Rattus norvegicus: one gene and its partners. The protein of the gene in region 7 interacts with the protein of the main gene of each other region in a biochemical or structural test. Links are inferred from orthologs where the notes say so. Each region holds a gene or a part of one and is shown on either strand. Other genes may lie near its edges.

Region 1 (3,500 bases), on a different chromosome or scaffold from region 7:
TGTTTAGTAGACTACGCTTAATTCTAGAAATTAACGGTTTCTTAAAGGTTGACATCACGGTTGGTGGCCTTTGTTTCAATGAGACACTTCTTCAGACAGGAAAATGTATGGATGTGCTGCCCCACAGGGTTACCAACATGTGAAAAGAGAGTGATATGTAAGTATAAACGCTTGTTCCTTGTATCCCGCTTGCCAACATTCTATTTCTTGACTTTACTCCCACTCCCATGCTGTTTATCTATGTGTCAGTTTCTTTCAGATTCAATAACTACTTATTGATTTAATTTTTCTCTTAAATACTTTATTTTTTAGTTTAATTAAAATATAGTAGGAATCACTATCATGGAGCCACTATAGCGTGATATTGAAATTAGGAGAAAAGTTACTTTAGGAATTGGATGTGTAAGTTAGACATGATTTGAGCCAAAGAGGCATTGAGTTGCCTGTGGGAACTGTCATGCACACAGAAGATTTCCCTGAACTGCTGTTCTGGGTTTTGTTAATGTGGATTTAACACATGTCATGTATGTCTATGTCATGTATGTCTATGTCATGTATGTCTATGTCATGTATGTCTACCTTTGTGTGCTTTGCTACTCTATTACCCTATAATGAGGCCAGTTCTCATTTTTTGACTCCTTGACAACTAAATGTTGTGAATCCATGACCTTTGTGGACAGTTTGGTCAATATCCATCGTTCTAAGCAGACAGTTTCATGGGACATTGGCACTCTGTAAATCAGGCCATGGTATGTCAACCTAAAGATATACTTTCTGTTTCAGATTGGAAGTACCTAGTAGATAAAGCCTCTGAATTAAGGTCACTCAAAAAAATTGTTATACCAAATAGTCATACACTTTATGTGAGAACATTTGATTAATAATCCTATTACTTACTCATTAGTTATCTTAAATACTTTTGAGTCCATACAATAACCATGAGTTGCCCATCCCCCTAATTATTGGGAACAACATATTATATGTGTAGAACTTACAATAATTCTATCTTCTCTATAAGACCACACCCGGAAATGGTAGGACCTCTTGTGTGGCACAGACCATTCAGGGCTATAAAAGGAAGTAAACTTTCCTGTTACCTGTTCTCCACATATGTCCTTGTGTAAACAACAGTGTCCTTGGGCCCAGCATTCCTGGTTCCAGAATTGGAGCTGCAATAAAACCATTTAGCTTCGTGTTAAAATGTTACTTGTGAGGATGATAAAAACAAAACTATATATTCCATGTATACGTAACATAAATACAATATATATAGAGAGATATATCAGAGAGCATGAAGGCCATCTTAACTATCCATGTATTGTACGTTAGTGTATGTTTCCCTAATGCTCTGTTTATTTCTATGCCATACATGTTCCCCAATAACTCTTGAGTTAAAAGTGGACTTTGACTATTGAAAACTCAGATTTAATGCTATATACTCAGACAGATCCAGTTCAAGAATGTGAATATTGTCAAGTTTGAGAAATAGTTCAATGGGTAAGAACATTTCTTCTTGCAGGGGACCCAGGTTCAGTTTCCAGCACCCACATATAGTGGTTCCCAATCACCTGTAATTCTAGTTCCAGGGGATCTGATAATTTGTGGACTCTGGACACCAGTACATATGTGGTGCATCTACATAGACTCATGTACGTAACATGCATACAAAATAAAATAAATAAATCTCTAAAAGAAGTTGTCAGCATCACTGTCACAATCATATTCTGTGTAATTGTAGACTTTAAAGCAAGGACTACATTTCATATCTGTCTACATTTGTTCCAGCAATCAATGAGCTGCTGACTCAGCACTCTGATATAAGGGTAGTTACATATAGCAAGTCCTAGGCATCAAAGATGTGGTTAGCTCACTTATAAACAAATGCAGGGACAGTGTGGTCATTGGTTTTGTAACGATCTGTACCTGAGGCTGGTTTTGGTTTCATGAGAATAGACTGATGTTCTTGGGGATTCCTTGCGCAGACTGTTAGTGACTCCGTTGGCTTGGCCATCTACCCTGCAAGAGCAAACGTGTGTGTTTGACATTCAAAATCAAGATCACTTACAGGTGTTTTTGCTCTATTAAAATGTTACTTGGCGGACAGTGTTTCTTTACCTCTACCTGGTTTCTGCACAGCTACATACAGAATACATAGTCTTTACTGGTTCCCCTGGCTCCGCAGAACTCACTGTCTTACTTTCACAAATAATCTACAGACAAAAGCCATATTATTCAATGCCATGGCAGAGTGTATTTTCATCAAGGAGAAAATCCACTGAAAATTGGTTCCTCGATTGCTTCCACAACAGCGATGCTGTTTAGAAAACTTCCCTTGTAGCACATATCTAAGGATTCATCACCTTAATGAACGACCCAAGGGTTGGTTTGAGCTGTTTCACTTCCCATTTTGCCTTAATGAAAGGTAATACTTTGAAGACTGCAGAAGTCTGACCTAGATTTCTGCTGATCTAAAAATGTCATCCTGTTTAACAGAGCACAAACACATTCAATTTCTCCCAAGGAATGGAGGAAACTCTCAATGAAAAAAATAGTGAAAATTATAGCAATTTCTCTCCTCTTCTGTGTTGGTAAGCTTCAAGAGTAAAGACATGGAAACCTACAGTTCGGATGTTCTTTAAGCCTTATTTTCAAACACACTGTCTGTGGGTGGCTTTGTGCATTTGAGTGCTTGCACCCACAGAAGCCAGAGACAGGAATCACTTGGGAGCTGGAATAATAGGCGGTTGTGAGCCTATGTGGGTGCTGGGACTTGAACTCTGGTCCTCTGAAAGAACAGTACATGCTATGAACTACTGAGCTATCTCTCCCACCTTGTCCCATATAACTTTTAAAGAGGAAGATGTATTAATGGCTCATCTCTGACACACACAAAAAATGAAACTAATGAGATAAAAATATTAGAGGAAGGTACCTTACATTTTAAACTATAAAAAAATTAGCCTTGGCTAAATATACACTAAAATTTACAAGTATGAAGCTATGAATTGAGGCTAGCATGACTTTTCTCTCCATTTTGTTCAAGACTTTACGAAGATGTGGGATGCATTGATTTTAAATGTATCAGGCCATAACATCATACATTTAAAGTTATCACATTCATGTGATTCTAAACACGTGTACACATTTCTACGTCAATGAAAGTTTGTGGGGACTTGTGCTTGTAATGAACATATCTAGAATAAGTTACTTTTCATTTGCTTATCTTTAAAGAGCATCTTGCTTTAATGGAGATGTTTGTGAGTAAATTTTCAAGTTATAGCACATAGTGAAAAGGTGGGATCAAAACTATCACAGGTTTTCTCATGGGTTTTATTAGGCTATGTCATCCCAAGAAAAATAAACTAGCTTAGAACTGTTGAAGAATAATCAAACTTAGTGCTTCCTTAGAATTCATAAGACTCTGGTTTCAAACTCTGGCAGCAGTAAGTAGGTAAATATTAATTCTACACAAATGACATGATACACACTATAAAGTTCAA
Region 2 (3,500 bases), on a different chromosome or scaffold from region 7:
ACTATTGCAAGTGTTTGGGACTCCTGGGAAACCATGCCAATAGACAGGTGAAGCAACCAGAGTTCACCTCCGACCTAAGAAGCCAGGCTGAATCTCAGACCTTCTTCCCTTGGGAAAACTAGAAATGCTAGCCTTGGCCAGTCTAAGAATCCTACCGGGGTGCAAACTGCTCTTTTTCATGCAGTCCACTGGGGCTCTGAATGCCTCCTGAGGAACTACGGTGCAGCCTTCAACATGAGTGCATACATGCACATACGGAGCAGACATTAAGAGAATAGACTGGAATGCTGGGCATGGGGCATCGAAGGTTGGCACGAGGTGTCTGTCAAACACTGTGTGGTGGTTTGAATAAAAATGACCCCCATATATTTGGATGCTCAGACATTAGGCTTAGTCATTAGTGCTACTTGACAAGAATCAGGAGGTGTAGCCTTGTGGGAGGGAGTGTGTCACTGGTGGTTGCCTTTGTGGTTTCAAAAGCTCAAGCCAGGCCCAGTCTCTCTCTCTAACTGCTGCCCGTGGATTGAAATGTAGAGCTCTCAGCTACCTCTCCAGCAACACGTCTGCTTGCATGACACCATGCCTCCTGACATGATGACAACAGACGAGACCTCTGCACTGTAAGCCAGCCCCAGTCAAATGCTTTCTTCTTTTAAGAGTTGCTGTGGCCGTGGTGTCTCTTTACAGCAATAGGACACTGACTAAGACTCTGTCTAATTTTTGTTGAGACAGAATCTTTTACTGAATCTGGAACTTGCCCAATTTGGCTAGACTGCTTGGGCAGTGAGTGGCAGGGATCCAATCCTCCGGTCTTTGCCTCCCAGCACTGGGATTATACAGTGTGCCATCAGTCCAATTTCTACATTCTACATGATGCTGGGACTCTGAACATACCCCCAGCTTTGGCTTAAGAGCTTAAGCGAGTTACTTAATCTTGTCATGTCTCACTGTTCTCGGAGATGAGGGAGCACAGGTAGACAGATAACAGAGAATGACACTGTTGTTTTAGCTTTGCTTTGAGACAGGATCTCATGTAGTATAAGCCAGTCTCCAACTCACCGCATTGTCAATGCTGCCCTTGAACTCCTGATCCCCATCTCTCCATCTGAGGAGAGCTGGGATACAGGTGTGCAAAACCACACCTGGTTCAAGCAGCACTTATTGTCATTACCCGTCCTCTGTTCATTCGCATCTCTTTGCCTAATGCTCTGTTAGCTGGCAGCAGAGTAGAAAGGCAGGAATTTCTGAAGATGGCTATCGAACCGGAGTGACAAATGCATATTTGACAACACACAGCAAGAAGTTCAAACATTACTCAGAAATCCAAACTCAATTCTATCCAAAACAATCACAACTACTCAAAAAACACTTGTGTCCAAGGGCACGCAAAGCAGCAGCACATGTAAGGGAAAAAATTAGGTAAAACAGAGAACAGAGACTAGGTTAAGTAAATCATGATGTATTCACATGCAGTAAAATATGGCTATTTTCAACGACAGAGGAAAATGTTAATTTTTCATCAGTAAAAGAATAATTTACCAACTGTACAACATATTAAATAGGATGAGAAATACTTTTCAGAGTAATGGCATCTCTGGGTGACACGTTCATACCTGCACACAAGAAGCACAGTGAGAGCACAGTTTAGGGGTGAAAGGCCTCGGTTTGAATCTATCTATATACACATTTAAAACGTTTGCGCAAGCCTCCCACATTAACTTCAGAATTTAAACCCCAAACTGGTCTGGAGAGACAGTTCGGTGATTAGGAATGTGAGCTGCTCTACCTGCTTACCTGAGTTCTGATCGCAGCATCCACACAGAGGCTCACAACCTCAGATAACTCCGGCTCTGGGGGAATCTGAGATCTCTGGTGGCCCTGGCCATCAGCGACACATGCACATACTCCCACACAGACTCAGACGCAGACACACACATAATACATAATAAAAATGAAGTAAGCTGGTTTTTAAAAAGCCAGCCAGGCAACAATACCATAGCGCTCTATCCCTAGACTAGGGAAGTCACCTGCTGGATGTCAGAAAGCTCTTTATTCAACTCTTCCAGGTGGTTAGCTGTCTTCTCCACAGATACCTCCAAGTCCTTCAGCTTTTTCAACTCAGCCTCTTCTTCTGGATTGCTCTAACACAAAGGATAAAATTCGGTCGGTAATTGCTCACCTAAAAAGACTGAGTCAACCTCTCGTGCTTCTTGCTTGGAAAGCATGTCAAAGGGTTAGACACCACGATTCCTATCTGTAAAGCCGAGCGTCAAGAAGGAAGGCGGGGCTGGGGATTTAGCTCAGTGGTAGAGCGCTTGCCTAGGAAGCGCAAGGCCCTGGGTTCGGTCCCCAGCTCCAGAAAAAAAAGAACCAAAAAAAAAAAAAAAAAGAAGGAAGGAAGGTGTCAAGCGAACATCGTAGTGAGAATCCTGAGGACGTATGCTCAGAGAATGGAGCCAATCCAAGTGTCAGGTTCAGCCTCAGCCCTGTGCTGACCCCAACCCCAACAGCTAGGTCAGAATGTAAGCACGGACTACAGAGAACTCACTGCTCTTCCAGAGGATCTGGGTCCAGTTTTTGGCACCCACACAGAGGCTTACAATCTTTTGTAACTTCAGTTCAAGCATATCCTACCCTTCTTATGGCCACCACGGGCATCAATCAGGCAAGCCCATAGTGCAGTCACACAGATGCAGGCAAAATACTAGAATACACGAAATAGGATAAATACATCTTTAACACAGTAGAGTGTAAGTAAGTTCAAGAGAATACCGCTAAGGTGTCCAGAATGGGAAGACAGAATTCAACTCGTCCTTTGTTTTGTCTTGAGACAAGATCCCACTACCTAGTCTCATTCTTCCTACCTCAGCTTCCTAAATGTTGAGATTACAGTGTGCTTCCATGCCCAGCAGTATGACATTTTTTTTTCCCAAACAGTGCAGGGTGGCCTCAAGAATACTGTGTAATGGGAGGACGACCTTGAATTCCTGACCCAACTGCCTCTACCTTCCCTATGGTAGAGCTACAGCCAGGTGCCACCAGGTTTGGCTCACGACTATCTTCTTTTAAATGTAAATGTCACCCTTCAGTTGGATTCTCCTATTTAACACGATAGTAACAGTGACAACATTTTTCCTGAATGCTCTTGGTATGCCAGGTACTGTGCTTAAAATGTTACCTCTGCTACTTGGTTTTTAAGCTTTACCATAACCCTAAGAGGCAGGAACTGTTTCATAGATGACACTGGGCCTTAATGTAGTAAAGTGACCTAAGGTCCCAATGCCCAATCAGGGGAATGGACTAGAACTCAGCTGTGGACTCCCTGACCCTAACCAGTTCCAACAGAAACTACCACAGCACACCAAACCGAGACCATGGGTACTGCCTTCTGCCCGTATTGTTTGCCTGACCCTTCAGCAAACATTTACAACATTATTCTTTCTCTCGCCGGCAGCTAGGGCCAGCAGCTTCCTGCTTTGTTATGCTCCCCGAAACTCTCC
Region 3 (3,500 bases), on a different chromosome or scaffold from region 7:
CTATACACGTTGAGCTCTTACTGTGTACACATCAGAAAGAGGCTCTTTGTAAACCGAGCCTGTCCCCACCATTGTAGAAATAAGGAAACGGAACTTCAAGAGGCCAGACTTCCCCAGTTTAATATGGTTGATGAACCCCAGAGCCCCAACTTGCTGCCCTAATACTAAGGTATCCCACAAAGCAAACTTTTTAGTTTACACTGAGACCAACTTCTTTCTCATACCAAGAAGGAAACTGAGACCCACAAGGTCAAGTCTGGGCCTGTGGGGCAGGAAACCTGAGTATGAGATCAGTTCTGACCATAGAGCTGCTCTTGACTTGGGCAGGGCTTGGAAACCTCTAGGCTCCTGTTTTCCTAGTTGTAAAACATGGGTAGAAGGCAGACCCAAGAGCCTTGAAACTAACAGGTCTCAACAGACACCACTTTCTAACAGTATAAGGCCCTTTGTACGAATGGGTTTTGAGTCCTAATTAAACGTTTCTAAGACAACCTTCCTTCACGTGTAGTCTCCCGAGTCCCTAGCTTTGTCACCTGATCCTCAGAGATCAGTTGGTCCACCATCTTGCTCCCAAATTTGTGGCGGATGTTTTCAGGAATGGCGGTGTCCTTCTTGCCCAGAGGCAGTGTCCTCTGCTCTGAGGACCTGGAGTCCTGGCCTTCCGGCCCAAGACATGCCTCTCGGAAGGTCTCCCTGGCATCTCTGGAGCTGGATCTGGATGCTCCCTTCTTCAGGTCCTCAGGATGTGAGTTCATAGCCAGAGAAGTCCTGCAGATAGGAGTTGGTGGCAGAGGTGGGGTCTCCAGGTGGCTCTGGCCCAGAGGGCCGCCTAAAGGGCTCTGGGAGAGTCTTGGATGGTCCTTAAATTTGGAGCTGTCCAAGGAGCTACGGGCAGCTCTGCAGGAGTCCATGTCCTGCTGGCCCTCCATGTTGTTCGGGTGGGTCCTTGTCAAAGTGGTTGTACCTGGGCAGGGGGGTAAGATGGATGGTGAGAGGTGGGAGGTTCAAGATGGGGGTGAGGAGCAGATGAGGGGAGGTGACAGCTGGACCGATGGGAGGGAAGTAGACAAAAACCAGAGAACCAGAGCCAGACAACAGGTCAGTACAGAAGTCACAAGACCCCAAGGCAAGGCAAGAAAGCAGGGGGGACAAAGGGATGTCAGTGGGCAGACCTCCACAGCTCAGTTGTTGTCCCCATAAGGCTGTGACCAAAGGGGCTGTGACCCAGGCTTGTTCAGCCTTCATTAGGCCAACTGCATGGCCTTGAGCAAGTGATCCAGCCTCTCTGAGCTTTAATGTCCCCTAGCACACTTGGATCAGCTTCCTTGCTCACTTTGAGCCGCAACAAACCCTAAGATGAATCCAGCAGGCATAGGGGTGGCAGGGGTGGCTCTTGGCTTGGCCAGATTTCAGATTGGCAAAGTGCCAGAATGGGCTCTTTGCTCCCCATTCCCATGTCTTCTGCCTTCCCTTCCAGCCACCTTCCTGGATCTCGGGGCTTCCTTTCCCATTCCCATTTGTATCACCCCAAAACTCTGCCCTCAGCTTATGTCCCTCCACTCCTGTCATCCCTGGTTCAGATAAGGGACGGATGCCTCAGTCCCTGATCACCCTGAGGCACTTCACCTCTCAGGGTCACCCAAGCTGGTCTACTACCTGTTGAGGCTATCCCTTTCTTTTTATAAATTTTTATATTTTTTAAACTTTATTTTTATTTTTATGTATAAGGGTGGTCTCCCTGCACCTAAGTCCAGGCACCAAGTGCCCACAGAGGTCAGAAGAGAGCGTTGGATTCCCAGAGACTGGAGTCACAGACAGTTGTGAGCCACCATGAGGTTACTGGGAATCGAACCTGGTGGGTCTTCTGGAAGAACAACTATGGCTCTTGACAGGAGAGTCCTCTTTCCACCATCCACCACCCTTCTGTTTTGAAAGTCAAATCAGATTTCTTACACACGCACACGCACACCTCCTGTCACCAACCCCATCTGGCTAGGCCAGTTCTCTGCTCAACACTATACACAGTCCATTTTCACAGCCCTGGATGTCCCCTTTCTACCTCAGCCGTAAGCTCCACAATGCCTCCTTCCGCCCAGTAGATAAGGGAAGAGGATCGCACAGGTGAGGTCCATGAAGGAGGCCAGTTTCCAGCCTTCTGCCACACCCCACAATCCCCAGAACTTTTGAGTCCCTCAGTAAAGGAGAAGACAGATGGCTGCACAATATCAGACCCCAAAGAGTAACAACACCTCATGCAAGCCAAGACATCAGCCTTCTCTCTGCTGACTGTAGGCTGCACTGATGACCCTGGATTTGGCTAACCAAGAGTGTTTTCTCTAAGCAATATGGCGGTGTGTATTCCAGTACATGTGCTGTGCATGAGAGTCCCTCGTGGTCCTCACAGTCTAACCCCATTCTCAGCCCCAGGAGCCAGTTTGATCAGCTTGCCCCTAAATATTCCAGAAGACTCTTCCAGTCTACAACAGCGTGTTTTGCTTTTGGGTGTAAATGAAATCCAACTTCATGCTGCATTCTAACTTGCTTAAAATACACCCTTGCACCTCAGAGTCCAACCCACACCATTGGTATGGAGGGAATGTCCCTTCCTACTTCACAGACGCCGGCTGCTGCCCCACTGCTTGGTGGCCACCAGTCAGGTTTTAAAACAGGCTGGTGCAAGCATCGGGCTTCACAGCTGTGACTTTCTTGCCCTGTTGAAAGCCCCTGCCTCAGGGATCATGAGGGGTAGTGCCAGAACCCCCGGCTCCACTGGAAGTGGTGTGGGTGCTTCACCAGGGAGAGGGTGCAGAGAAAAGTGGGATCTCTTTCCATTTCTCCCCACTTCTGCCTGCCTCTCTAACCCCACTCTTTGTCCCCATCTGCTTCCATCCACAAATCCAAAGGGAGAGATTGTCTCCTGGAACCAGATGGCCCTCCTCTCCTAAGTTCTGCCCAAAGCAGCAGACAGTCAAGCAGTGGGGCTTCCGGAGCCAAGTAGGGCTTCTAGAATATAAGCCAAGGTAGGAAGAACAGAATACACAGCACCTGCCTGGTCAGTGGAAGTGTCACCTCCCCCTAGGAAGACAATGTCTGTGCAGGAGCAAACTCACACTCCTTCCTGACCCAAGGTTTAGTGATGCCATGTCCCCAGCCTGCCCTCCTGGCTGCCTCATCTGTTGAGCTATTATGAAGTAACAATAGCACCCTAGTCTTCTGCCAGCCTTCAGGGTTGGTAGCACCTCTGGCCTGGGTATGTCCTGGGTTCTTGGGCTCATAGAGCAAAGATCATTACCTTTGTCCTTTGGGCACCCAGAAATGTTGAGGGTGGTGGTGTTATTCCTTGGGGTCTGATATTGTGTGGATGGGATGGGATGAGATGGATGGTTGGGTAGGTGGGTGGATGGATAGATGGATGGAATGGGTGGATAGATGGGTGGGTGGATGGGTGGGTGGGTGGGTGCGTGGATGGATGGATGGATGGATGAGTGGGTGGATGAGTG
Region 4 (4,110 bases), on a different chromosome or scaffold from region 7:
GGGTCCTCGGCAACAAATCTAAGCCGTAGAAGGAACTTCAAAGCTGTAGTTATAATAAGTGTGCTGGGAGACACAGCGTAGCAAATGAAAATTTCCACAGCAGGCACATTTTGCAATTCTTAATTTTCTCTGTTTCTCTCTTCCCCTCCCTCATTCCCTCTCTCTCTCTCTTTTTTAAAGATGTATTCATTTATTATATATAAGTACACTGTAGCTGTCTTCAGACACACCAGAAGAGGGCATCGGATCTCTTTACAGATGGTTGTGAGCCACCATGTGGTTGCTGGGAATTGAACTCAGGACCTCTGGAAGAGCAGTCAGTGCTCTTAACCTCTGAGCCGTCTCTCCAGCCCCTCATTCCCTCTCTTAATTATTGCTTAATCGAAGCTCTCCAGTCTCTATCACTAGCCTAGTGGCAGGTGAAGTGTTAGTAGCCACTGATTAATGTTTTCATCTGACGGATAGACTCAAAACCTAGGCCTTCCTTAAACAGAACATCCTGTCGCAAAGAAGTGCAACTGATTTAATAAAAAAAAGATTTATTTATTTTTTATATATGGGAATACACTGTCACTGTCTTCAGACACATCAGAAGAGGGTATGGATCTCATTACAGATGGTTGTGAGCCACCTTGTGGTTGCTGGTAATTGAACTCAGGACCTCTGGAAGAGCAGTTAGTGCTCTTAACTGCTGGGCCATCTCCAGCCCCGGAACTGATTTTTAAAAAGGCTTCACGTCCTTTCCTGCTGCAGACAAGCACTGTTGATCTCTGACATCACGTGCATATTTACAAACAATGCGAAGTCTACACAAGTGAGATGATGAAGTCGGCCACCGCTTTAAACCGAACACTAGTCTTAACGAAGCGGAAGTGAGAAAACACACTTCAAGAGCTGTGTTGATACAAATGGTATTTAACTTGGTAGAATAAACAAGATTCGCACTCTCCACAGCGGATCCGCTACAAGGATCATTAGCCTGCCGGAGAGACGCGGGCGTCGTTGGGGTGCTCAGCGGCTTCCCTCCCTGCCAGCGCCCCGGCGTCCCGCTTACCCGGCTGGACGCAGCATCCCTGCGCTCCGTAGCGCGCTCACGGGCCAGCCGAACGCCGCCGCCGGAGAAGGACCGGCAGAGCAGCCGGCGAAGAGCTTTGCTTCCGGGCCGCAAAGCCGCCATGGCCCGCGCGTACGGCAGGATCGCGACAGTGGAAAGGTTGGCTTTACGGCAGCGTCGCAAAGCCTGGGGCGACGCGCGGCGAGGCCGACCCTGCGCATTCCCTGAGAGGGACGACCGGTTGCGGGGCCCGCACGGACGAGGAGGCGAGTTTTCTCCGGGCTCGGAGCTGAGGGGCCCGCTGTGCGAGGACGGCGACAACGCTGCGGAAGTGGAGGTGGCGGAGCGCGATGGCGCGTGCGGCACAGGTGAGCGCTGCGCGGGGGCGCGACCTCCGAGCTTCCGGAGTCGGGCACTTGGCCACCCTCGCTGCGCAGGCCAGCGCCCGCCGCGCGCCCATTGTGAGGTCAGGTGGCGGCGCGTCCGGCCCGGCCGAGACCCGGGAGCGGCCGCCGCGGCCAGTAGCTGCCGCCGCCTCCGCCGGCCCCTTCACCGGCTGCCCGGGTCAGACCTAGCCGGGAAGGGCGAGGGGGATGACGCTGGGGGCTCCGCTCCGGTGCCGCTCCCCGTGAAGGGCCGATCTCCCACCTCGCCGCCCTCCGCGGCAGCCAAGACCGCCGCCACCCAGACCTCTCGGAGTAAAGCGCTGCGAAGGCCGGGCTTGGACCCTCCCCAGGGACTGAGTTCTGTGGCCTGCCCGCCAGAAGTGAGCTGTTTGACAGAAACCTGAGAGCGTGGGAAATGCTCTAAGCACACTTACGGGGAGGCGAGTGACCGAGTTAATCGCAGTCGTCAGGTTTTTGCGGCGGGTACTTGAAGTCGAGGGCGAGGATTTGGACGTTTTCTTAGTTCCACTTTCTGAAAAGTAGCAAGTTTAGCTGTCTGTCCGAATGCTGCTCCTGTCAGTTTGGAAGAGCTACTTCCACAAGGGCACCCTGCTGGTTCCAAAGACTAGCTTAGGTTGGTGGGATTTCAGGAGATTGTGTTGCTGCTAACCCGGTGGGTTGACCTAGTATATGAAAGTGTATGCAGCTCGCTTTCATGGTTTAAGACAGAATTCATAGGCCTAGACATCCACCCAGGCTGGACCATGAGTACCTTCCTGTCTGTTCTTAAAATCCCTGCCGTGTTCCCTTATTTTCTTTTTGCTTTTGATTCTTGGTGTCACCAAGTAGTCCTTGGCGATCTTGAATTCGTAATTCTCTTTCCTCTGTCTCCCTGGTGCTAGGATGGTAGGCATACACCAGCTCACCAGCTTGGTTGGTTTGTTTTTTGTACCTGTTCAAAGAGGCAGTTGACATGTCACATCTTCCTTTTCCTCAAGTGTCTTTTAAACCTTTGACAAAACCCTCCGTGTGTTTGCTGCATGCCCAGCTGCCAGAGTTTGACCTGTCCACCCGCCATCGTTTCTGTGGTGTCCTTTGGTTTTGTTTTTTGAGGCAAGGCTTCTCATTGTCCTGGAGCCCCTCAGTTAGGCTGGCTGGCTGGCCAGTGAATCCCAGAGCTCCATCCGTCTTTGCCTCCCCGGCCCTGGGAATTTAACTGGGCACCGTCTTGCCTGGCCTTTCTGTTTTATTTTATGTGTGTTGGTGTTTCATTTGCCTGCATGGATGTCTGTGCACCATATGCGTGCCTGTAGAGTACAGAAAGGAAATCAGATCCCCTGGAACTGGAGTTACCATTAGTGGTGGTCATGAGTTGTCATATGGGTGCTGGTAATCAAACCCAGGTCCTCTAGAAAGCATTCAAGTCTCTTAACCACTGAGCCCTCTCTCCAGCCCCTTCCCTGGCTTTTTTTTGCACGTGTTCTGGAGTTGCAACCTGGACACTTGACTAAGAACTCTCTCCACAGCCCCAGTGAGCCCTTTTAAAAAGTGTACTAAAAAGGAGTGTTTGGATTGGGTTATTACCCTAAGAGACTAATAAGTTATCGTTCTTGCTATCTTTCAGTGCTTGTGAAACTGAACACACAAGTATGGATATGGGAAACCAACACCCTTCTATTAGTAGGCTTCAGGAGATCCAACGGGAAGTAAAGAGTATAGAGCAGCAAGTGGTTGGCTTCAGTGGCCTGTCGGATGACAAGAATTACAAGAGACTGGAGAGGATTCTGACGAAACAACTTTTTGAAATCGACTCTGTGGATACAGAAGGGAAAGGAGACATCCAGCAAGCTAGGAAGAGGGCAGCACAGGACACAGAACGCCTTCTCAAAGAGTTGGAGCAGAACGCGAACCACCCACACCGGATTGAAATCAAGAATATCTTTCAAGAAGCTCAGGCCCTTGTGAAAGAAAAGACTGTGCCCTTTTACAGTGGAAGCAACTGTGTGACTAGCGAGTTTGAGGAAGCCATCCAGGACATCATTCTGAGGCTGACACATGTTAAAACAGGAGGGAAGATCTCCTTGCGGAAAGCAAGGTACCACACACTAACCAAGATCTGTGCGGTACAAGAGATTATTGAAGACTGTGTGAGGAAACAGCCTTCCCTGCCACTTTCCGAGGATGTGCATCCTTCTGTCGCCAAGATCAATTCTGTGATGTGTGAGGTGAACAAGGCCAGAGGTACTCTGATTGCACTTCTGATGGGCGTGGACAGTTCTGAGACTTGCAGGCACTTATCATGCGTGCTGTCAGGACTGATGGCTGATTTAGATGCTCTAGATGTGTGTGGGCGTACAGAGATCAGAAATTATCGGAGGGAGGTGGTGGAAGATATCAACAAATTACTAAAATATCTAGATTTAGAAGAGGAAGCTGACAATACACATGCATTTGACCTGGGACAGAACCATTCCATTATAAAGATAGAAAATGTCCTCAAGAGGATGAGAGAAATGAAAAATGAACTTCTCCAGGCACAGAGCCCTCCTGAATTGTACCTGAGGTCCAAGACAGAGCTGCAGGGCTTGATCGGGCAGCTGGACGAAGTGAGTCTGGAGAAAAACCCCTGCATCAGAGAGGCCAGGAGAAGAGCAGTGATTGAGGTGCAGA
Region 5 (3,500 bases), on a different chromosome or scaffold from region 7:
GGAAAGACCCAGGTTTGAACCCTTGCCCCCACACAGCAGCTCGAACTGTTTACTCCGTCCCAGGGAAACTCCACAAGTATTTCTGGCTCCTGTGGGCACTGCACTCATGTGGTGCAAAGGAACACATACAGGCACACCCACACGCACCAAAATAAATCTCAAAAATTTACATAAAAATGCCTAGAAAGAGCTGTGGGTTGCACAGATGCATGTGGCGGGAAACCAAGGCTGGCGTTTACAAAGTGACACCATGTAGAAAAAACAAAGCTGATGTAGTAACGAAAAGGTCAGGTGTCCCGATGGCCTGTTCTCACCCTGTTTGAAACAGGGTAGTCTGGATTAGACTTCCATCCACAGCAATCCGCCTGCCACAGGCCCAGGGTGATGCAATTACCCAGGAGTCATCATATTCAGAGATTGACCCTTAGCATTAACATTTTTTTTTAAACAAAATTATCACTGGAGCATGAACACAGGTGACATTCCATTTTAAACATTTACCTTTGCAAGCGTGGTGTAGAAGATACATTATATCGAATCAGGCAACCTGCCTCGGCTTTTGAGTCTGGGGTTGTTAGATCATTGGTTGGATCTTCTGTTTTGCTGTCCTGATTGTCTTCGTAAACCTCAACTTTTCTATGATGTTCATTCTCCTCTTCTGGTTTTCCTGACCCGAGATTAGTTTCAACATTTACTTCTTGGATATGTTCCTTGGTTGCATGAGCCTCCTCAATATTTTCTCCTATAGAAAAATTAAAGATTTAAACTATTTAAACAAAATGTCAAAATGACAGAACCAAATGACACTGCCTAGTCATTGTATTTCCCATGTACACACTTCTGCCAACAACTTAACAAACGTCTAATGTCCCGTGTGCAGAGATACAAATTTAAGAATGGAACCATTCCAGTTCTTAAGACTATGCCATGAAAGACACAGGTGAAGAACAATTAACTATAAGTGAGATAAAACAGTGTAAGTCAAGTAAGAACAAAGGGTTGCTGGAACCCATAGAAAGGAATGAACTAGGTCAGTTTTATGTCAAGTTGACACAGGCTAGAGTCACTTGGGAAGAGGGAACCTCAGCTGAGAAAATGCCCCCAACCATATCGGTAAGTCTGTGGCGAGTCTGTGGGGCATTTCTTAATTAAGGATTGATGTGGTTGGGCACATCCCATAGGGAGTGGTGCCACTGCTGGGTGGGTCCTGGATGATATAAGAAAGAGGGCTAAGCAAACCAGGAAGAGCAAACCAGTAAGCAGCACTCCTCCATGGTCTCTGTAACAGCTCCTTCCCTGTTTGAGCTCCTGCCCTGACTTCCCTCAGTGATGGACTGGGATGCAGAACTGTGAGCCGAAATAAACCTTTTCCTCCCCAAAGGATCAAGGTGTTTTACACAGCAATAGACACCCTAACTAAAACAAGGAATTATGCTTATGGTACAGGGAGACAGTTAGGGAAGTATTCAAAAGGAATATTTACAATGGGTCTTGAAAATAAGTATTTAATAAGACTGAAAAGATAATCTTCTAAAGAAGCATGGAAGAACGTCGATCTAGCAAGCACTTGGCGCACATATACACATGCAGACAAAAGACTCAATAAAGCAATAAATAAGTCTATATTAAAAAAATCACCTGCAAGATTCTGCCATGAACAATACTTATTGAAAAGAAAAGGGTCAGGCTTAGGAAAAACATCATGTGCTCAGCTCTGCATGGAGCTTGGCGTACCTGAGAGACCCACGGTATCTATTATTATCAGTAATTTCTCAGTTAATATGTCTTGTATTTTCCACGTTATTTCTTGTCACTTAGATTTCACTTTGTTCAGTAAAGCCAATTTTATATTTGAATATTATAAATTTTAGAACATCAAAGCTTTATGGTAGCTTTTTTTCTATCACAGACTAATAATTTATCTGCTTAAAAATACAAAGATTCTCAGAGAAAGAACTGGAAGAGCTTGAAGGGGCTCGAGACCCCATATGAACAACAATGCCAAGCAACTAGAGCTTCCAGGGACTAAGCCACTACCTAAAGACTATACATGGACTGACCCTGGACTCTGACCTCATAGGTAGCAATGAATATCCTAGTAAGAGCACCAGTGGAAGGGGAAGCCCTGGGTCCTGTTAAGACAGAACCCCCAGTGAACTAGATTGTTGGGGGGAGGGCGGCAAGGTGGGGAGGATGGGGAGGGGAACACCCATAAAGAAGGGGAGGGGGGAGGGGGATGTTTGCCTGGAAACCGGGAAAGGGAATAACACTCGAAATGTAAATAAGAAATACTCAAGTTAATAAAAAAAAATAATAATAATAATACAAAGATTCTATTAAGGGGAAAAATGAGAAACTGAATTCAATGTAAATGACACCTCTAGAGCCAGTAAGAATTATAAGACTTCAGAAAATCTATTTATTTGTTTTTTTGGAGGCAGGGTCTCACTATGTGGCTCTGGCTGGGCCAGAACTCAGAGAGCCACCAGCCTCTGTCTGTGTGTGTGTGTGTGTGTGTGTCTGTGTGTGTGTGTGTATGTGTGTATGTGTGTGTCTGTGTGTGTCTGTGTGTGTCTGTGTGTGTGTGTATATGTCTCGTGTTGTCCTGTGTACCCTCCACCTCCCCACCCTCCCTGCCTCCCTTGTGCTTGGACTAAAGGTGTGTACCACCATGCCACCCTGCTCACAAGTTTTATTTTTATTTCTCTCTTTAAGACATGACAAGAGAGGTGGCTCAGAGGTTAAGAGCGCCAACTGCTCTTCCAGAGGTCCTGAGTTCAATTCCCAGCAACCACCTGGTGGCTCACAACCATCTGTAATGGGATCTGATGGCCTCTTCTGGTGTGTCTGAAGACAGCTACAGTGTACGCATATACATAAAATAAATCTTAAAAAAATATTTATTAAAGAAGAAAAAAAGGAAGAGAGAAAAGCTGTTGTGCTGTGGCCCACTTTTAAGACAGGAATCTAAGTCCCGGAAAGAAACTTTCATACTCAGTAGTAGATATGGATTTTGAACTAGATTCCTTAAATATCTTTTTTGAGACAGCGTCTCACTCTACATCACCTAGGCTGTCCTGAACCCATGATCCTCCTGCTTCAGCAGCCAAGAGCTAGGATGCCAATTCTTCTCTTTCGAGACAGGGTCTCTATGTTCAAGGCCAGCCTTAACCATCCCCCTATCTTAGCCTCAGAAATTGCTAGGGTTATAGGTGTGAGCTTTCATATCCAGCTTAAAATGTCTATGCAAGATAGACATTTATTACACTTCAGAAGCAGGTCAACAGAAGCACAGGGAGAAGACCTTATGTTTAAAAAAAAAAAGTTAAATGAAAGGGAATCTGAAATGGTACATTTTAGTAAAAATCACAATTCGCCTGAAGAAAACTTACCCAAATTGGCTTTTTCTTGATTCTTCGTTGTTAGAATATCTATGATTATATGTCGCATCTCTTCAATAGGCTTAAATTTTAAAAAAAAATGTTTTTAACAAAGAAAGA
Region 6 (3,500 bases), on a different chromosome or scaffold from region 7:
GTTGTTGTTGCTTTTGCCATGTTTGCCAGCTTGTAACCGATGATCATTTCCATAATTGGTGTAATACAGAAACTGTGTTCAAATATTGGGAACCTGTTCTTTATTATTCTGAAAACGCTGCACTAAGAAAATTGGCCAAATATGCAAATTTCTGTCACTGTGTGAAGCACTATGCTTTCTTCAAAGCCTTCCCTGTAATTCAGAGCTCCTCAGCGCCTAGGACTCACATTTCGATCTCGGATTCCTTTAGAGTTAGCCCAGCCCAGACACGTGTGTTCAGCTGTCTGTCTCGTATCTATTCGTCACATGCTAATTGTTGAAGGGTCGATGAACAGAGTCGCTTCCAATCATTCCTGCTCTTGGCCAACACTGATTTCATTTTCCGCACCTTCGCTGTCTGTCTGTTTTTCCATTAGCATAGTTGGCCTACTTTCTTCTTGGTGTTGTATAAATGCTTTTCCCCATTGGCCTCGACGAGCTCGTCCTGATAGCCTTCCATCTGAGCTTGAGGACCCCGCTCAGCCCCGTTCTCGGGGAGGCAAAGGCAGGTTTCTCTTTACACTGATGTAAGGTCACTGATTTGCCCCATGTCAGCCAGCCAGCCACTCCTCGGAATAAGCACTGCACAGGGGCTGGTTGTACGTCACAGAGCTGCACCGCGCTCCAGACAACTCCTTCAGCTCTCAGCAAGTCTGCACAAGGAGAGCTGACCACAGGAAGGCAGGAGAAGCCCAGTGCAGAAAGAACAAATGGGCACTTCTCACACCGCCTGATTGTCAGCAGATTGGCATTTGCAGGCCATGTGTATCACCACACTAACCACTCTCCACTCTGTAAAAGCTGACCTAACTGAACTGCCATGCTAAAGCCCAGTCATTACTCACGAGTCTAATTTTCTTTATGAAAAAACATTAGCTGAATTTTTAATTTTTTGGTATTTTCTCACGAGTACTCCATTTGCATCATTCCCGTTCCTCCATCTCCGCCTCCAGCTCCTCCTGTGTACTCACACATCCTTTCATGGCCTCTCCTTTAATTATTGTACACGCATACATGCATATGAGTGCTTACTAAGTCTGTTTAGTGTTGCTTACATGAGCTGAACTTTAAGGAAATTGAGTTGTAACCTCAAGCAAGTCACCTTTGAATTCTTTAGTTCTAACATATAATTTTGGTATTGTAATTATATCACCTCTGATTCCTCCCTTTGCTTTTAATCCTCTTCCTCCTAATGGACAATCTGTGAACCTCTCTGTAGATGCTGAGGACCTGTTCACTTCCAGACCTTTCCAAGCTCTTCAGAACCCTAATGGATGTTCCCACTGTGGGAGACGTTCATCAAGACAGTCTTGAAATAGAGGAGCTTGAGGATGAACATATTAAAGAAGGGCCCTCGGATTGCGAGGACATGTAAGTATGGGACCACTAACAAACGCCAGTATCACTTGGACATCTGAATTGTAGTTTTCTTCAAAGTCCAGAGAGCGCGGCCTACAGTTGGCTTTTCATCACCCTTCAAGCTCTTACAACTTTGTTCAAGTATAATCAACCTTCCACTGTGTCATTTGAGGCACATAAAATTAGTTTATATTTATGCTCACTGTCTTTTTTCCCATTAACATCCATCTAGTAAACTGATGTGACTATAGTAAGTAATTACTAAACAGTGATTAAATCATTTTCACAGGATAATGACTGTTGAACAGTGAAATCTCCATTATACCGGGACTGAGATGGGAAATAGGGAAGTCTTAAGCACTCTGCATTTTATCAGGAAAAAAGATGCCTAAAAGATTAATATCTACCTTGTAATGTTTAATTTTAGGATGTATCCATGGTGATTTTGTGTGGTATATGTGGGAGTGGAGTAAGGTAACTCTGTGTGTGTGTGTGTGTGTTTTGCATGTAACTTTGTTGCATACAGAAAATTCCTTTCTTGTGATTCATGGGAAATAGAGAACTCAGGAAGGAAATAGAACAACATTTCTGTAAGTTATAGGAAATGTTGGCCAAGCCTTAGATAGGAATCCTTCTTAACCTCTGTAATTTTAGCCAACCACCTCAGACAAGTATGACAACCTGGGAGGAATAAAGTCAAAATATCCTGTAATGAGGTGCTAGAAGCAGCACAGCACAGGAGGAGTCTATCCTGCAGGGTGCAGGGGTGCAGGGTGCAGGGGTGTAGCTCAGTGTAGAGTAGTAGCCTGCAGGAGGTTGCAGTTGCAATCAGGATTGCTGCCTTTGACACGTTACTTCTCAAGTTCCTAACGACGCTCCACTGTCTCATCAGCCCTCTTAGAGGCCTGTGGGTGGGTGGTTTGGAGGAAGGTCCCTCTAGCCCTGTGTTAGTCAGCTCATGGGGTGAACACAGCATGCAGCACTTCATTGGTGACAAAGTGTTGGCTGTGGGGTTTTTCCTCGGGCGTAAGTAAAATGGACACTGTAAGTGAGCCAGCTGTAACTAACAAAATTATTCTAAGTGCTGTTCTATATCGACTGGCCTGTCTTGGAAAACCCACTTGGATCGGTACCTTTCTCCAGATTTTACAACATGAAAGCCAACTGAAAACTAAGCTTAGGGGCTGGAGAGATGGCTCAGTGGTTAAGAGCCTGGACTGCTCTTCCAGAGGTCCTGAGTTCAATTCCCAGCAACCACATGGTGGCTCACAACCATCTGTAAAGAGATCTGATGCCCTCTTCTGGTGTGTCTGAGGACAGCTACAGTGTACTTATATATAATAAATGAATTAAAAACAAAAAAACAAAAAAACTAAGCTTAGGGCCAGATACCTAACACGGATATTTGAGTGCTGATTTCACACATTAGATCTCCTCACATTTTTCTTAAGCAGCAGTCAGGCCAGCCTCAGGAATTTAACTCCCATTTGTACGTCTTGGCCATGTTTTTCTCTAGCTGACAAGTGGGTTATCCACAGGTCAACATTTAGTCTTCATAGCAAAGGTTCCATGATGCATTAGGCTTCTCATTAAGCACCAAGTTTTGTTCTGATCACATCTGTAGCGTCCACTAAGTCAAATTGCTATAAGTACAAAATAAAGGTATTTCTGTGCAAATGATCATTTTCTTTGTCCATTAATGTAAATTGTTTTCAAGGTCTCACAAAGTATTATATTTGGGAGTTAACTGTTAACTTTGGGAAGGGTCCTCTCCAACCCTGTACCTTACTCAGCATTGCATTCCTAGTCCAGGGACTCGTGCCTAGGGACCTCATCCCTTGTCCTCACACATCAGGTAATTCCTCAGCTTCATGTTTGTCCTCAGAGACGAACCTGAAGTTTTAGAACTGAATTTCTAGTTATTGTACAAGTGCCCAAAGACAGAGGTTGAAGATGCTTGATAAGGTCACTTGTATATTTTCATGTCTCTAATGAGTTTCATTTGGATAAAACTTAAATAGCATAAAACTGCTTAGTAAACTCGTATGCTATATACATATAGGATTTTACCTATAAATTATTCCACGTTTTAAATCTCAGGA
Region 7 (3,500 bases):
TTGTACAAAACCAGGTCAGCATGCTGTCTATGCCTTGGAGGCCAAAATGCTGCCTCATGGAAATGACTCCTGGCTATGGCTAACTGCAGCCTCGGTTTCTCCGCCAGCTCTGAGCTCATGCAGTGACAGAGAGACCATTTACACAGCCTTCCTGGCAGTCCAGTTCCTGTTGTTGGATTCTCACGTGGGAGAAGTTTCCCATCCTCGTTGGTGGCCTCTAACCTTTGACCTACATGAGTTCTGGGACGCCTCCTCCTCCATATGGGCCTTGCACAGAGGGTGGGAGCCATGATGTCAAAGTGGGGGCCCTCCTGCAACCAGATGTCTTCCAACTGTGGGAAGCCTAAGATAACTAACACAGCAGGCCACGATCTCCTCAGATACCCTGCTCTGTTAGCTTCACATAGAAGCCCCCAGACGTCTACCTTTGTGCCGCTGGGCTGGATTCCCTGGTCAGGATTGTTAATTCCTAAGACACGCCGGAGCCTGGATGTTTCCCATAGCCATGACTTTTCCAGATCCATTACAAGTTGTACATTTCATTGTAATTTCCTTGCCTCTGTGGTCACTCAAATGCCCCTTTCTGTGTCTTATTGTTCAAGTAGGTTGAGTCTGTGGAGTTCAACGTCTGGGACATCGGGGGCCCTGCCAGCATGGCCACAGTCAATCAGTGCTTCTTCACAGATAAGGCCCTATATGTGGTGGTCTGGAACCTGGCCCTGGGGGAAGAAGCTGTGGCCAACCTCCAGTTCTGGCTTCTCAACATTGAGGTAAGGAGCCACCCTCTAGAGTTCGGGTCCCAGCCTCCCACAGTTCTGTGGTCTGAAGTGCTGTGCGGACTACAGAGAAAAGGGACCACACAAGGAAAAGACTCTATTCTTGTTGAAGGGCTCCCCCCAGAGGGCCCAATGTCTTCCAACTGTGGGGAGCCCCACGACTTGGTTCTTGGTTGATTTTCACATCAAGAACCAGAGGCCTCCTGGGCCTGAGGGCCCAGTGTGCTTGCTATACCCTTATTTACCTTAAACCCTATAACCTTGTGTGTGCAAGGCAGGCAGTACTCCCTCTCCGTGTAAAGGTGCCATTGGCCTGACACAGGCTTCTCCCTCAGTAGACAGAAGGACCAGGTCTCCCTCTCCATGGGCTAAACACATTGCATGAAGCAGATCAGTTCATAAGAGTCCGTGCCCCTCAGTTCATAATGGACCCATGATCTTAGAGTCCACAGGAGGGTGGCTGAGCATGGACCACTAACATCCAAGGTTGGCACACTTGCACGTTGAGGAAACTGTTCTCCACTCTTTATTCAGAGCAAAGATACAGGGCTTAGCTGTGGGGTTCTGTTTCAGGCCAAGGCCCCAAACGCCGTTGTGCTGGTGGTTGGGACACATCTGGACCTTATCGAAGCTAAATTCCGAGTAGAGAGGATCGCAACACTGCGTGCCTACGTGCTGGCCCTCTGCCGCTCACCATCGGGGTCCAGAGCTACAGGATTCCCAGACATCACTTTCAAACACTTGCAGTGAGTATCGTCTACTCTCTCTCTTGCCACTACAAGACGGGATCACTAAGATCCCATCCTGCCTGGGATCTGTCACGTGTATGAGACAGGCTCCTCTGGACAGAGGGTGGCACCGTGAGCAGGGGATGACCCATTGGATGATTAGAGAGAGACAGGGTCTCCAGACTCCATAACTGTCTGTCCTTCCTTCCTTCCTTCTTTCCTTCCTTCTTTCCTTCCTTCTTTCCTTCCTTCCTTCCTTCCTTCTTTCCTTCCTTCTTTCCTTCCTTCCTTCCTTCCTTCCTTCCTGGGCTCTCTCCTCCCATCAGGGCCAGTGCCTAGAGCACACAGCTCCCCTGGAACGAAGACACGTGAATGTGAGCACTGTCCACAGTACTTTCAGATCAAGGACCAACATCCCAGTCCTTGTGTTGGCTCTAACTAGATCTGAGACAGCTGCTACGTCTGAAGCAGCTGCAGAGTGTGAGGCAGGGCGGTCTGGTGCTGAGGAGAATGGCTACCCTGGCTGTGTTGCTCAGTTAACCTCTTGTCAGTGGCCACCACCTTGCCAGGGTTGTGACGCTCAGACCATGCATCTGAGGCTCAGTAACAGAAGTGAGAATCCCTGAGCAGACTAAATGGGTGTTGCTTCAGCTACTCTTGGATTCCCTCACTCTGGGTGTGATGGCATGGGTGCTGGGACACAGGTCAGCCTGACTCGAATGCAACATCAGGATTTGGGGGCGGGGGGACCCCTGGTATGCCCCAAGAAAGACTTGGAAGGGTCTTCAATAGCAGGAGTGCTGGCTGGTTCATAGTCAAAGCCTCAACAAGCATATATCTTTCCAAGCTAACACCCTTGGGAAGCCCAGTACCTCTGGGCCTTACTCTTCCTCTGTGAATTCAGTCTATTGGGAAGACAGACCAAACTGGCATGCTATAGGACATCCAGCATGGGGCTGTGCACAGAGAAAGGCCCCCAAAGCCTTCCTATTCTCTCTTTTAATGACTTCTCGAGGTTTGTCACCATTTGGGACAAATCTCCAGGGAAACTGGGATGTTATGCGCCCTGAAGCAAAGAGGTGGCATGTCGATTGAGCCCCAGTGTTTGCACATACAGCGAGATCTCCTGCAAGAATCTGGAAGGGCAGGAGGGGCTGAGGCAACTGATCTTCCATGTCACGTGCAACATGAAGGACGTGGGCAGCACTATCGGCTGTCAAAAACTCGCTGGCAGGCTGGTGAGTGTCCCCGCACGCAGTCGGGTCAGAGGGTCCTGCTTCCCACTACTGGGATCCACGCTTCTGTCCCCTTCCTTGCTGTAAGGCACATGTCTGTGTTTAAGGTCAGTAGTTCCAGGTGGGAGCAGGGAAGGATCAGCGGCTCTCACAATAGACCTGGCATGACTAGATCTGCTGTGACCTTGTACGTTTGTCCCCCACCTGAGGTGGGGCAAAGCCATGCTCTGAGACGTGTTTGCAGTTCTAATGCCGTAAAGACATGTCTTCTGGTCCTAAGACCATAGAGTGGGATGATAGTGGGGAGTTTTGGTGCAGGCGACACATACTCCTTACACCTGAGAGGCCCATCTTTGCCCCACCTGCACCCAGATCCCCAGGAGCTACATAAGCCTACAGGAGGCTGTGCTGGCTGAACAACAGCGCCGCAGCCTGGAAGATCAAGTACAGTACCTGACGGACAGGCAGCTGGAGCAGCTGGTGGAGCAGACGCCTGGCAATGACATCAAAGACTATGAGGACCTGCAGTCTGGTAGGCCAGGAGTGGGTACCCAGGGAGCATAGGTATAGGGGACCGGAGGCTGGCAGAAGGTGGGGCGAGACACCTGGGAGGCTCTTGGTCACCACATCTCCACCTGGGCCCTCAGCACAGCAGGCTAGCAGGTTTACATGACAGCGCTCAACACCTCCTGGTGTCTGCCTGCCTACCTGCTGCCTCCCTCCACTTCTCCCTGCTGCCTCCCCTCCACCTGCCCCTTTTC

Evidence for each region.
Region 1: the proteins of Lrrk1 (region 7) and Scel form a complex in vitro, tested with the Homo sapiens proteins (2 studies listed by BioGRID and IntAct, with this or other methods). The link is inferred for Rattus norvegicus from reciprocal best matches to the Homo sapiens genes LRRK1 and SCEL.
Region 2: the proteins of Lrrk1 (region 7) and Bag1 form a complex in vitro, tested with the Homo sapiens proteins (2 studies listed by BioGRID and IntAct, with this or other methods). The link is inferred for Rattus norvegicus from reciprocal best matches to the Homo sapiens genes LRRK1 and BAG1.
Region 3: the proteins of Lrrk1 (region 7) and Cimip4 form a complex in vitro, tested with the Homo sapiens proteins (2 studies listed by BioGRID and IntAct, with this or other methods). The link is inferred for Rattus norvegicus from reciprocal best matches to the Homo sapiens genes LRRK1 and CIMIP4.
Region 4: the proteins of Lrrk1 (region 7) and Bag5 form a complex in vitro, tested with the Homo sapiens proteins (2 studies listed by BioGRID and IntAct, with this or other methods). The link is inferred for Rattus norvegicus from reciprocal best matches to the Homo sapiens genes LRRK1 and BAG5.
Region 5: the proteins of Lrrk1 (region 7) and Ckap2 form a complex in vitro, tested with the Homo sapiens proteins (2 studies listed by BioGRID and IntAct, with this or other methods). The link is inferred for Rattus norvegicus from reciprocal best matches to the Homo sapiens genes LRRK1 and CKAP2.
Region 6: the proteins of Lrrk1 (region 7) and Nek1 form a complex in vitro, tested with the Homo sapiens proteins (2 studies listed by BioGRID and IntAct, with this or other methods). The link is inferred for Rattus norvegicus from reciprocal best matches to the Homo sapiens genes LRRK1 and NEK1.

What each region holds. Positions count from the first base shown.
Region 1 is NC_086033.1:86,859,132-86,862,631, reverse strand, and holds part of Scel (sciellin), read right to left. Parts: intron 2,017-3,500; coding exon 1,924-2,016; intron 1,170-1,923; coding exon 1,098-1,169; intron 1-1,097. UniProt on the Homo sapiens protein: May function in the assembly or regulation of proteins in the cornified envelope. The LIM domain may be involved in homotypic or heterotypic associations and may function to localize sciellin to the cornified envelope.
Region 2 is NC_086023.1:60,867,060-60,870,559, forward strand, and holds part of Bag1 (BAG family molecular chaperone regulator 1), read right to left. Parts: intron 2,142-3,500; coding exon 2,028-2,141; intron 1-2,027. UniProt on the Homo sapiens protein: Co-chaperone for HSP70 and HSC70 chaperone proteins. Acts as a nucleotide-exchange factor (NEF) promoting the release of ADP from the HSP70 and HSC70 proteins thereby triggering client/substrate protein release.
Region 3 is NC_086025.1:111,815,413-111,818,912, forward strand, and holds part of Cimip4 (testis-expressed protein 33), read right to left. Parts: intron 3,124-3,500; exon of another isoform or gene 3,050-3,123; intron 965-3,049; coding exon 534-964; intron 1-533.
Region 4 is NC_086024.1:136,590,479-136,594,588, reverse strand, and holds the start of Bag5 (BAG family molecular chaperone regulator 5), read left to right. Parts: upstream 1-1,310; 5' UTR 1,311-1,422; intron 1,423-1,864; exon of another isoform or gene 1,865-1,880; intron 1,881-3,064; 5' UTR 3,065-3,089; coding exon 3,090-4,110. Other genes in the region: Coa8 (cytochrome c oxidase assembly factor 8), read right to left, coding at 1,055-1,177. UniProt on the Homo sapiens protein: Co-chaperone for HSP/HSP70 proteins. It functions as a nucleotide-exchange factor promoting the release of ADP from HSP70, thereby activating HSP70-mediated protein refolding.
Region 5 is NC_086034.1:76,555,614-76,559,113, reverse strand, and holds part of Ckap2 (cytoskeleton-associated protein 2), read right to left. Parts: intron 3,463-3,500; coding exon 3,393-3,462; intron 743-3,392; coding exon 502-742; intron 1-501. UniProt on the Homo sapiens protein: Possesses microtubule stabilizing properties. Involved in regulating aneuploidy, cell cycling, and cell death in a p53/TP53-dependent manner.
Region 6 is NC_086034.1:34,017,077-34,020,576, reverse strand, and holds part of Nek1 (serine/threonine-protein kinase Nek1), read left to right. Parts: intron 1-1,258; coding exon 1,259-1,410; intron 1,411-3,500. UniProt on the Homo sapiens protein: Phosphorylates serines and threonines, but also appears to possess tyrosine kinase activity. Involved in DNA damage checkpoint control and for proper DNA damage repair.
Region 7 is NC_086019.1:129,285,631-129,289,130, reverse strand, and holds part of Lrrk1 (leucine-rich repeat serine/threonine-protein kinase 1), read left to right. Parts: intron 1-602; exon of another isoform or gene 603-605; coding exon 606-770; intron 771-1,349; coding exon 1,350-1,522; intron 1,523-2,621; coding exon 2,622-2,742; intron 2,743-3,111; coding exon 3,112-3,271; intron 3,272-3,500.